Xenopus tropicalis: one gene and its partner. The protein of the gene in region 2 purifies or fractionates together with the protein of the main gene of each other region. This does not show direct contact. Links are inferred from orthologs where the notes say so. Each region holds a gene or a part of one and is shown on either strand. Other genes may lie near its edges. The genes, in order: atg9a and ap1m1.

Region 1 (4,395 bases), on a different chromosome or scaffold from region 2:
CTGCTTACAATGGGGGGATCAGATAGGATCTGTGCCACTGTGACAGAATGCTCTGTTATACAGATAGCTAGAATCTCAGCCATAAAGCAGGGCAGGACTGCTGCTTACAATGGGGGGATCAGATAGGATCTGTGCCACTGTGACAGAATGCTCTGTTATACAGATAGCTAGAATCTCAGCCATAAAGCAGGGCAGGACTGCTGCTTACAATGGGGGGATCAGATAGGATCTGTGCCACTGTGACAGAATGCTCTGTTATACAGATAGCTAGAATCTCAGCCATGAAGCAGGGCAGGACTGCTGCTTACAATGGAGGGATCAGATAGGATCTGTGCCACTGTGACAGAATGCTCTGTTATACAGATAGCTAGAATCTCAGCCATAAAGCAGGGCAGGACTGCTGCTTACAATGGGGGGATCAGATAGGATCTGTGCCACTGTGACAGAATGCTCTGTTATACAGATAGCTAGAATCTCAGCCATAAAGCAGGGCAGGACTGCTGCTTACAATGGGGGGATTAGATAGGATCTGTGCCACTGTGACAGAATGCTCTGTTATACAGATAGCTAGAATCTCAGCCATAAAGCAGGGCAGGGCTGCTGCTTACAATGGGGGGATCAGATAGGATCTGTGCCACTGTGACAGAATGCTCTGTTATACAGATAGCTAGAATCTCAGCCATAAAGCAGGGCAGGACTGCTGCTTACAATGGGGGGATCAGATAGGATCTGTGCCACTGTGACAGAATGCTCTGTTATACAGATAGCTAGAATCTCAGCCATAAAGCAGGGCAGGACTGCTGAATATAATGGCTCCCACACAGACTATTCAGCCCACACTCCCATTAGAGCAGCCCTGACTAGAGAATGACACATTAGATGTACCTGCCCTGTGTGCCCAACCATGTGGGGATGTCCCATAGTTACAGTAACTGACTAAGGGCCCCAAGTTGTTTCCCTAAACATCTGTTTAATGAGAGAATTTTTTCAATTGGCAGAAAATCGCTGAAAGTTATTTCACTGGAATAAGAAGAATACAGAAGAGAAAAGGCCAATACAGACAGTACCACAGCGCTTTCAAACCAATCCAATACCACTGACATGTGCCAACTATACCCCTCACGCATTACCCATGTGCCACACACATTGTCACTTATCAGTGCCAGTCTCACCCTTCCATGCTGCCCACACTTTGCTGACTTCTCACTCCACTTCCGCGTCTGTCGTCACTTCCCTCAGTTCTCCCTTCGACTTACAGCAACACTTGTTTCTCAACCTGACTCAAAACAAACCGCGGCTCCGCCCCGCCTCCCAGGCATCTGATTGGATGTCCAGTTGGCCGCTCCTCTTGCGATTCGCTCGAACACCGCCCAGTGGGCGGAACCTCTTTGCTGATTGGTTTATGCTCCTGTCAGGGCTCCTGAATGACTTGCCGTGGCTGCCGTGACTGGGCTAGAGGCGCGGCACTAAGGGTCGCTGTACCCCGGTAACCGAGACCGGACAAGAAACGTCACTTGCTGACACTGTCGGGTAAATAAAGGTTGGTGGGAAATAAGGGGAGAGTCTCGTATTGGTTCAGTGAGAGAGAAGGGTATGGCCCGGCTGGGCTGTATATGCTGTATTCACATATATATCTGTTATTGCTATAATACTGTGTGTGTGTGTGTGTGTGTGGTACATATACCTGTAGGGACCCATAGGGTTAAGTTACCTGTCACTCCAATCATAGATTCCTGGGGTGCTCTATATCCTACATTACATGGGCATATACCTGTCAGTAGCATAACAGACATCCATGGTTAGGTGATATATACATACTGTATTATAGGTACACAGGCTTGTTATTGAAATAATATATAGCCCTATGGTGCTGTATATACTATATTATATAGGTATGGGACCTGTTATCCAAAATGCTTGGGACCTGGGGTTTTCCAGATAAGGGATCTTTCTGTAATTTGGATCTCCATAACTTAAGTCTGCTAGAAATCATTTAAATGTTGAATAAACCCAATAGGGCTGTTCTGCCCCCAATAAGGGGTAATAATATCTTAGTTGGGATCAAGTACAGGTACTGTTTTATTATTACAGAGAAAAGGGAATCATTTAACCATTAAATAAACCCAATAGGGCTGTTCTGCCCCCAATAAGGGGTAATTATATCTTAGTTGGGATCAAGTACAGGTACTGTTTTATTATTACAGAGAAAAGGGAATCATTTAACCATTAAATAAACCCAATAGGGCTGTTCTGCCCCAATAAGGGGTAATTATATCTTAGTTGGGATCAAGTACAGGTACTGTTTTATTATTACAGAGAAAAGGGAATCATTTAACCATTAAATAAACCCAATAGGGCTGTTCTGCCCCCAATAAGGGGTAATTATATCTTAGTTGGGATCAAGTACAGGTACTGTTTTATTATTACAGAGAAAAGGGAATCATTTAACCATGAAATAAACCCAATAGGGCTGTTCTGCCCCCAATAAGGGGTAATTATATCTTAGTTGGGATCAAGTACAGGTACTGTTTTATTATTACAGAGAAAAGGGAATCATTTAACCATGAAATAAACCCAATAGGGCTGTTCTGCCCCAATAAGGGGTAATTATATCTTAGTTGGGATCAAGTACAGGTACTGTTTTATTATTACAGAGAAAAGGGAATCATTTAACCATTAAATAAACCCAATAGGGCTGTTCTGCCCCCAATAAGGGGTAATTATATCTTAGTTGGGATCAAGTACAGATACTGTTTTATTATTACAGAGAAAAGGGAATCATTTAACCATTAAATAAACCCAATAGGGCTGTTCTGCCCCCAATAAGGGGTAATTATATCTTAGTTGGGATCAAATACAGGTACTGTTTTATTATTACAGAGAAAAAGGAAATAATTTTAAAAAATTAGAATTATTTGCTTATAATGGAGTCTATGGGAGATGGCCATTCCGTAATTCAGAACTTTCTGGATAACGGGTTTCCGGATAAGGGATCCCATACCTGTATATAAATATACCTGTCAGTAGAATAATAGACATCCATTAGGTGCTATGCATACTATATTATATGTACACATGCTTTTTATTGAAATAATATAGAGCCCTATTGTGCTATATATACTATATTATATGTACTTATGCCTGTCACTAGAGTAGTACAAACCAATTAGGTGCCATATATATATATTATATGTACATATACCAATAGAATAATGTCAGTCCCTATGGTGCTGCTTATAATAAATGATGCACCTTAATATATTAATAATAAAATAAACAAATGTGAGAGTTCTGTTACACACACCCGTATATTTCTATATATAAATGCATGTATGTGAAACTGACGAGCAGACAAAGGTTAATCTGTTGTTTCAGTGTTTGCAGTGGCCTTGTGTAACCGTTGCTTTCGTTTTCTCCCCAGCAGAGAAGCCACGGCTGAGAGAGGTGCAGCCACTCAGGGTGATATAATAAAGAGAGTAATATGAGAAGCAGGGCTGTTAGAGAGCAGCGGTGAAGGTTCCAGACAGGCCGATCACCTTATGGTGAGTATTAATGGTCAGAGGGTGCCCTGCCTGCCCCGTCCAACTCCCAGCACAACCCCCTGCCTGCCCCATCCAACTCCCAGCACAACCCCCTGCCTGCCCCGTCCAACTCCCAGCACAACCCCCTGCCTGCCCCGTCCAACTCCCAGCACAACCCCCTGCCTGCCCCGTCCAACTCCCAGCACAACCCCCTGCCTGCCCCGTCCAACTCCCAGCACAACCCCCTGCCTGCCCCGTCCAACTCCCAGCACAACCCCCTGCCTGCCCCGTCCAACTCCCAGCACACCCCCTGCCTGCCCCGTCCAACTCCCAGCACACCCCCCTGCCTGCCCCGTCCAACTCCCAGCACAACCCCCTGCCTACCCCATTCAACTCCCAGCACAACCCCCTGCCTGCCCCGTCCAACTCCCAGCACAACCCCCTGCCTACCCTGTCCAACTCCCAGCACACCCCCCTGCCTACCCCGTCCAACTCCCAGCACAACCCCCTGCCTACCCTGTCCAACTCCCAGCACAACCCCCTGCCTACCCCGTCCAACTCCCAGCACAACCCCCTGCCTACCCCGTCCAACTCCCAGCACAACCCCCTGCCTACCCCATTCAACTCCCAGCACAACCCCCTGCCTGCCCCGTCCAACTCCCACCCCCAGGATTTGGAACAACTGCTGGGGCTGCTGCTGGCGGAGCAGGACCATGTGGGTGGTTAAGACAGTAGAACATAACGACAGTTTACAAATTCAGCATTGGAAAAAATGAGCGGGATGGAAGTTAACTAAAGTATTGTATTCCTGGTTCTAAGAGACACTTCAGTTTTGCTTTCACTTTCATATAATCCCCTGTATAAATGAATGTAG
Region 2 (4,486 bases):
AGCTTAAAATAGGGTCATTTACTGCAACATCCCCTGTGAGTCTACAATTTTAGTTACTTTTTATTACTTATCTTTCTCTTCGGGCCCTTAACTATTCATCTTCAGGTCTCTTACTGAAATCATTGCCTGGTTGTTAGGGTAAACTAGAACCTAACAAACAGACAGCTGCTGTAATTCCTATCTGGAAAGCTGCTTGACCAAAAAATAAAAATAAAGGCACTCAGCAAATTATCTTAGAACATCACTGCATCATATGAAAGGGTCATTTAAACGTGACCTACTCATTTAAAGAAGTAGTAAGCCTGACATAGAAGAAGCTTTCTGGGAATGTACAGAGAAGCAGAAGCCAGTGTGCAGCAGCAGTTTTTTTTCAGTTCCCATACATAACTTGCCTGACTTACTGTGCATTCCCAGAAAGCTGCCCTCTTCCACTATAGAGAGCTGAACAGGAAGAGAGGCAGGGCTTCATGCTGTACCAGGAAGAAGAGGAAAAGAGCTGGAGATTTCAACTTATAAATCAGAAACCAGATCAGACTGAATGCAGGGACTAAGGTAAGTTATTCTGGGGGTTGTTTAGAGTCATTTTAAGACAGAAAAAAAGGTTTACCAGAAGCTTTATCAGAAATGTCTATGTAAATACAGCAATAAACACTCACAGAAACACTATACTGACTTATCTGTAAAAAGATTAGCTGTGTCTGTTTTCCTCTGCCAGAGACACACAGCTTTCAGCTCTCTCCTCTCTGCTGCTCCCCTGCTCCCCTCCTCCCTCAAGAATGCTAAGAACTCACCCCCCCCTTAGGAATGTGGATCTGAGCCAATCAACAGGAAGCTGACTCATAGTCTTACTAACTGAGCATGTTCACTTGGTCTGGGTGTCTGTGCAGGAGTGAGGCATTATGGGAACTTTACACAGCTCAGTGTTTTTTCTTCCTGTTTAGCTTCTGATCATCTGAACAGGTGAAATATGGGGAGACTTAGGGGCACTATTGAGAGAACTGAAGGTATGCCTGCAGCTTGAGATTAACTCTTTATTAGCCTTTCCTTCTCCTTTAAGACAAACCCAGTTGCAGTTATTTGTATAATACAAATATCAGTGTACCATCCATAACAGAAAGATAGCATATACAAGTATTTTTAAGTGGTTTATAATAAACAAAAATAAAACATTTGAAAAAGGTAGGCAATAAATATGTAAACTGTGGATTTATAGAACACATTCCTGTCAGTCCTGTTCAAAAAACCACAACAAGCTTTAATCCATTTTCTAAAAAATAAATCTGTTCAAACAGGTCCCAGTACCATTTAGATGAAACACAGCAAATGTGGATATAAAGTAGTCTTTGGATCCAAGGTTATAGGTTGTAATTTCTGGGAATGTCTAGGCACCTCCCCCCATCATTTTTTTTACTTTTTTGTGCTCTACGGGCTAAACTTCACTATATCTGATCCAAAATTAAATTAGAACTGATGGAGATCAGATTTTGTAAGATCCAACAAACTCTTGTGCTGTTAAGTCAGACAGAATCTGACCCACAAAAACTGATCATAAGCACTCCTGGAGTTTACCCTAACAGCTTGGATTTGGTTAATAATAACCAAGAGAAAAATATGTTGAGTGATAAAAATGCTTAACCCAAAATGCTGAACCTGGAGTATTGCAGGGATGTGTTTCACAGACACAAAGTAGTTAGATAAACATAAATCAGGTAAGATCTAGGGAGAATGCTACTTTCTGTCATAGGTACAGCAGAAAGCCAATCTTTAAGGCCACTTGGGGTAAGAGTTGCTCTCCTACACTATGGCTGTGCGACTGATAATTTTTTCCTATATCTGGATCTGGATCCCCACGAGGCTCTTGTTAAGCTTAAAATGTCTGAAAACCAATGATCTGAGGAAGTGATAGTGATGTACACATAGATATTTAATGAACAGATCTGTGCCAGGGTTTTCTGTACTACTGATTTATAATAAAAACTGCTCAGACAGATCCCATGGCTATTTCACTAATGAGTAACATTTCAGGCAATCCTTAGCTTCTGACCTTCACACAGTCCTTTCACATGTAGGTAAGGTTTGGCACACAAGTAAATCGCACACAGGGGCACCTGCTGCTGCGCTCACACAGTGTTATTAACTCCGGCTCAGTAACATAGAAGTGGCAGCTGCCGGCCAAACGAGCAGCAGGCAGAGCATCTCATACAGGGAGTGGAACGTATTGGGTGGTGGCGATGTACAATACGAATACCACATTTATAAGGTTTGGTCAGACATGCATCTAATCGGAAGAGAAATCATGCCACTCTGAGAAGGGCCTGGCTAGCTACAATCGAATTCAGCGACCTTCAATGATGAAACACATACACAATCTGTCATATTCAAAGAAATAATGCTGTATTGTCCTAATATTGCTTCATTTCATCCGCCTTGCTCATACAGATCAGAAACGTTCTATTCGGCACCCTAACACTACAACATGGCCCTGCCAGCCCCGCTCTTGGTGACCAGCCCTGCCCGCATTCATTATCCGAACGCTCACCTTCCCTTTCAGGTCTAGCACATATACTGCGCTAGCCGACATCCTTACGGCCGAAGATAGTCCTGCAAAGGCAAGCCAAGCTGCTGCCCACTAGCCCAAAGCTTCGTTATCCTCAGTCCTCTCACAATACCATCCCCGTTATCCACCTCGATAGCGGTCCGCTCAGAGAGGAAACGCAATGTAACTTCCGGTTAGCCCTGTCATAGAGACTTAACATTCCCTTACTAAGATGGCGGATTTAGTCAAAAAGCGGGTCCTTCCATAGTCGATATTTGTGAACGGTCTAAACATGTCTCCACACAAAAAATGTGTGAGACGTCTTATAGAAAGGCCATTAATTGTTTTACGGCTGACAGATTGAAACAATTCCTTGCGTTACTATTTATTCTTGGCCATATTGATTCACGCGAATCAGATTGCACGGACGTTCTACTACATTTGGCTTTTATGGAAGGAAGCCTTTGTAGTAAAGCTTGCGCTGAACGTACTTTTTGCATGTTGGTATGATATGAAAAATCTGTTTTTTTGTTCATTCTTGAGAAGACACAGCAAAAACAGGGAAACTGATTCTGTTCCATGAAGGAGATAATTTGATTGCCCATGTACAGATTATTCCCCTGCATGATGGACTCCTGCGAATAAAACACAATGGGCGAGGGAGGGGGTTGAATACTGGTAATGAAATTATCTACCTGGCATGAACCAAACATGGAGTAGCTTCTGTTTCTCTGTTTACCCCAAGATATATAAAAAACCACATAGACTTTACATAATTAAAAATAAAGATACAAAGTATGTTCAGCACAAGCCCTGTTCATTTAAAGAAGAGGGTTTACTGACTCATGTTTGTCACTGTGTATGTTTTATTTATTAAAATGTTTATTTCTCATTGTACACTTCCCATCCTTTACAAATGTATATGCTCTGTATATACTGTAGCACTGTATAAATAAATGTACATATATATGCATTTGATTTGTCAAACAGATTATTGCTGTTGTATAAACATAATAATTCACATAATTATTATTTACTAGCAGGTCTTGGTTTTAGCTGGAGTGTATTTATCAGAGGTGGCCCATAGGCGACCTGGCCAGCCACCTTGCCCCACCACTTCCCCCTCTACCAGGAAATCCACTGTGGGGGTAAGAGATCCCGGACTAAGGGTTGGCAACAGAAGTACCTGCCCTAGACAGGTGCCTCTTCCGCCTACCCCTAGTTCCGGCCCTGGTATTTATTATCTGTGCTGCTGTGGTCAGTCTTAGCTAATACATGTTCATAAAACTCTCCTAAAACCCTGCCATATACAGTGTGGGACTGGCCTGCCATGGTAGAGGGAGTTGTCCCAGTGGGTCCTGGTGAGTGGTTCCTGAGACCATTCTGCAAAGCAAAGCATTAACTCTTTTCTACCTTTTCATTATTGTGTTTTTTATTATGATCGGTTAAAATAAAACTCTGTGATGGGGTCAGGGAAAAGAGAAAAATCAAGTTTATTGCCACAGAAAAGCAGAAGAATCCAGAAAGGGCTGCCAAGGTGACTTTCTTTGGAAGAATTTGCACAGAGTAAATGGGAGAGCAAAAGCTAATAGATAAAGATAGCACTCTCTTTGTCCTCCACATGAGTTCCTGCAGGGCTGACTGATGAGACCCTTCTAAGCAGTACATTGTGGTCTCAAGCATCAAGGAGCAACTGAAATCACACCCCAGCTAAATCTAAGTTGACTGTCTCCATGTAGGTTTCCAAACTTTCAAAGAACCACGCCCTCTCTACTCCAGTAGTTGGTGCATGCAAGTTTGTCAGCTTGCATGTGCTATTCAACTCCTGGACCCAGAGATGTAACAGACATCCTGGCATTATAGCTTTAGCACTTAGCACCTCTTTTCTGGAAGAATTCAGAGAACCAGGTCACCACTCTACACATGTCCATATGAGGAGGCTAAAAAAGA

The links.
Region 1: the proteins of ap1m1 (region 2) and atg9a purify together in Homo sapiens (affinity purification with western blotting, with the first as the bait; 3 studies listed by BioGRID). This does not show direct contact. The link is inferred for Xenopus tropicalis from reciprocal best matches to the Homo sapiens genes AP1M1 and ATG9A.

What each region holds. Positions count from the first base shown.
Region 1 is NC_030685.2:83,969,136-83,973,530, forward strand, and holds the start of atg9a (autophagy-related protein 9A), read left to right. Parts: upstream 1-1,399; 5' UTR 1,400-1,530; exon of another isoform or gene 1,531-1,540; intron 1,541-3,421; exon of another isoform or gene 3,422-3,424; 5' UTR 3,425-3,542; intron 3,543-4,395. Other genes in the region: ankzf1 (ankyrin repeat and zinc finger domain-containing protein 1), read right to left, coding at 1,173-1,180. UniProt on the Homo sapiens protein: Phospholipid scramblase involved in autophagy by mediating autophagosomal membrane expansion. Cycles between the preautophagosomal structure/phagophore assembly site (PAS) and the cytoplasmic vesicle pool and supplies membrane for the growing autophagosome.
Region 2 is NC_030677.2:98,837,780-98,842,265, reverse strand, and holds the start of ap1m1 (AP-1 complex subunit mu-1), read right to left. Parts: upstream 2,815-4,486; 5' UTR 2,582-2,814; coding exon 2,540-2,581; intron 1-2,539. UniProt on the Homo sapiens protein: Subunit of clathrin-associated adaptor protein complex 1 that plays a role in protein sorting in the trans-Golgi network (TGN) and endosomes.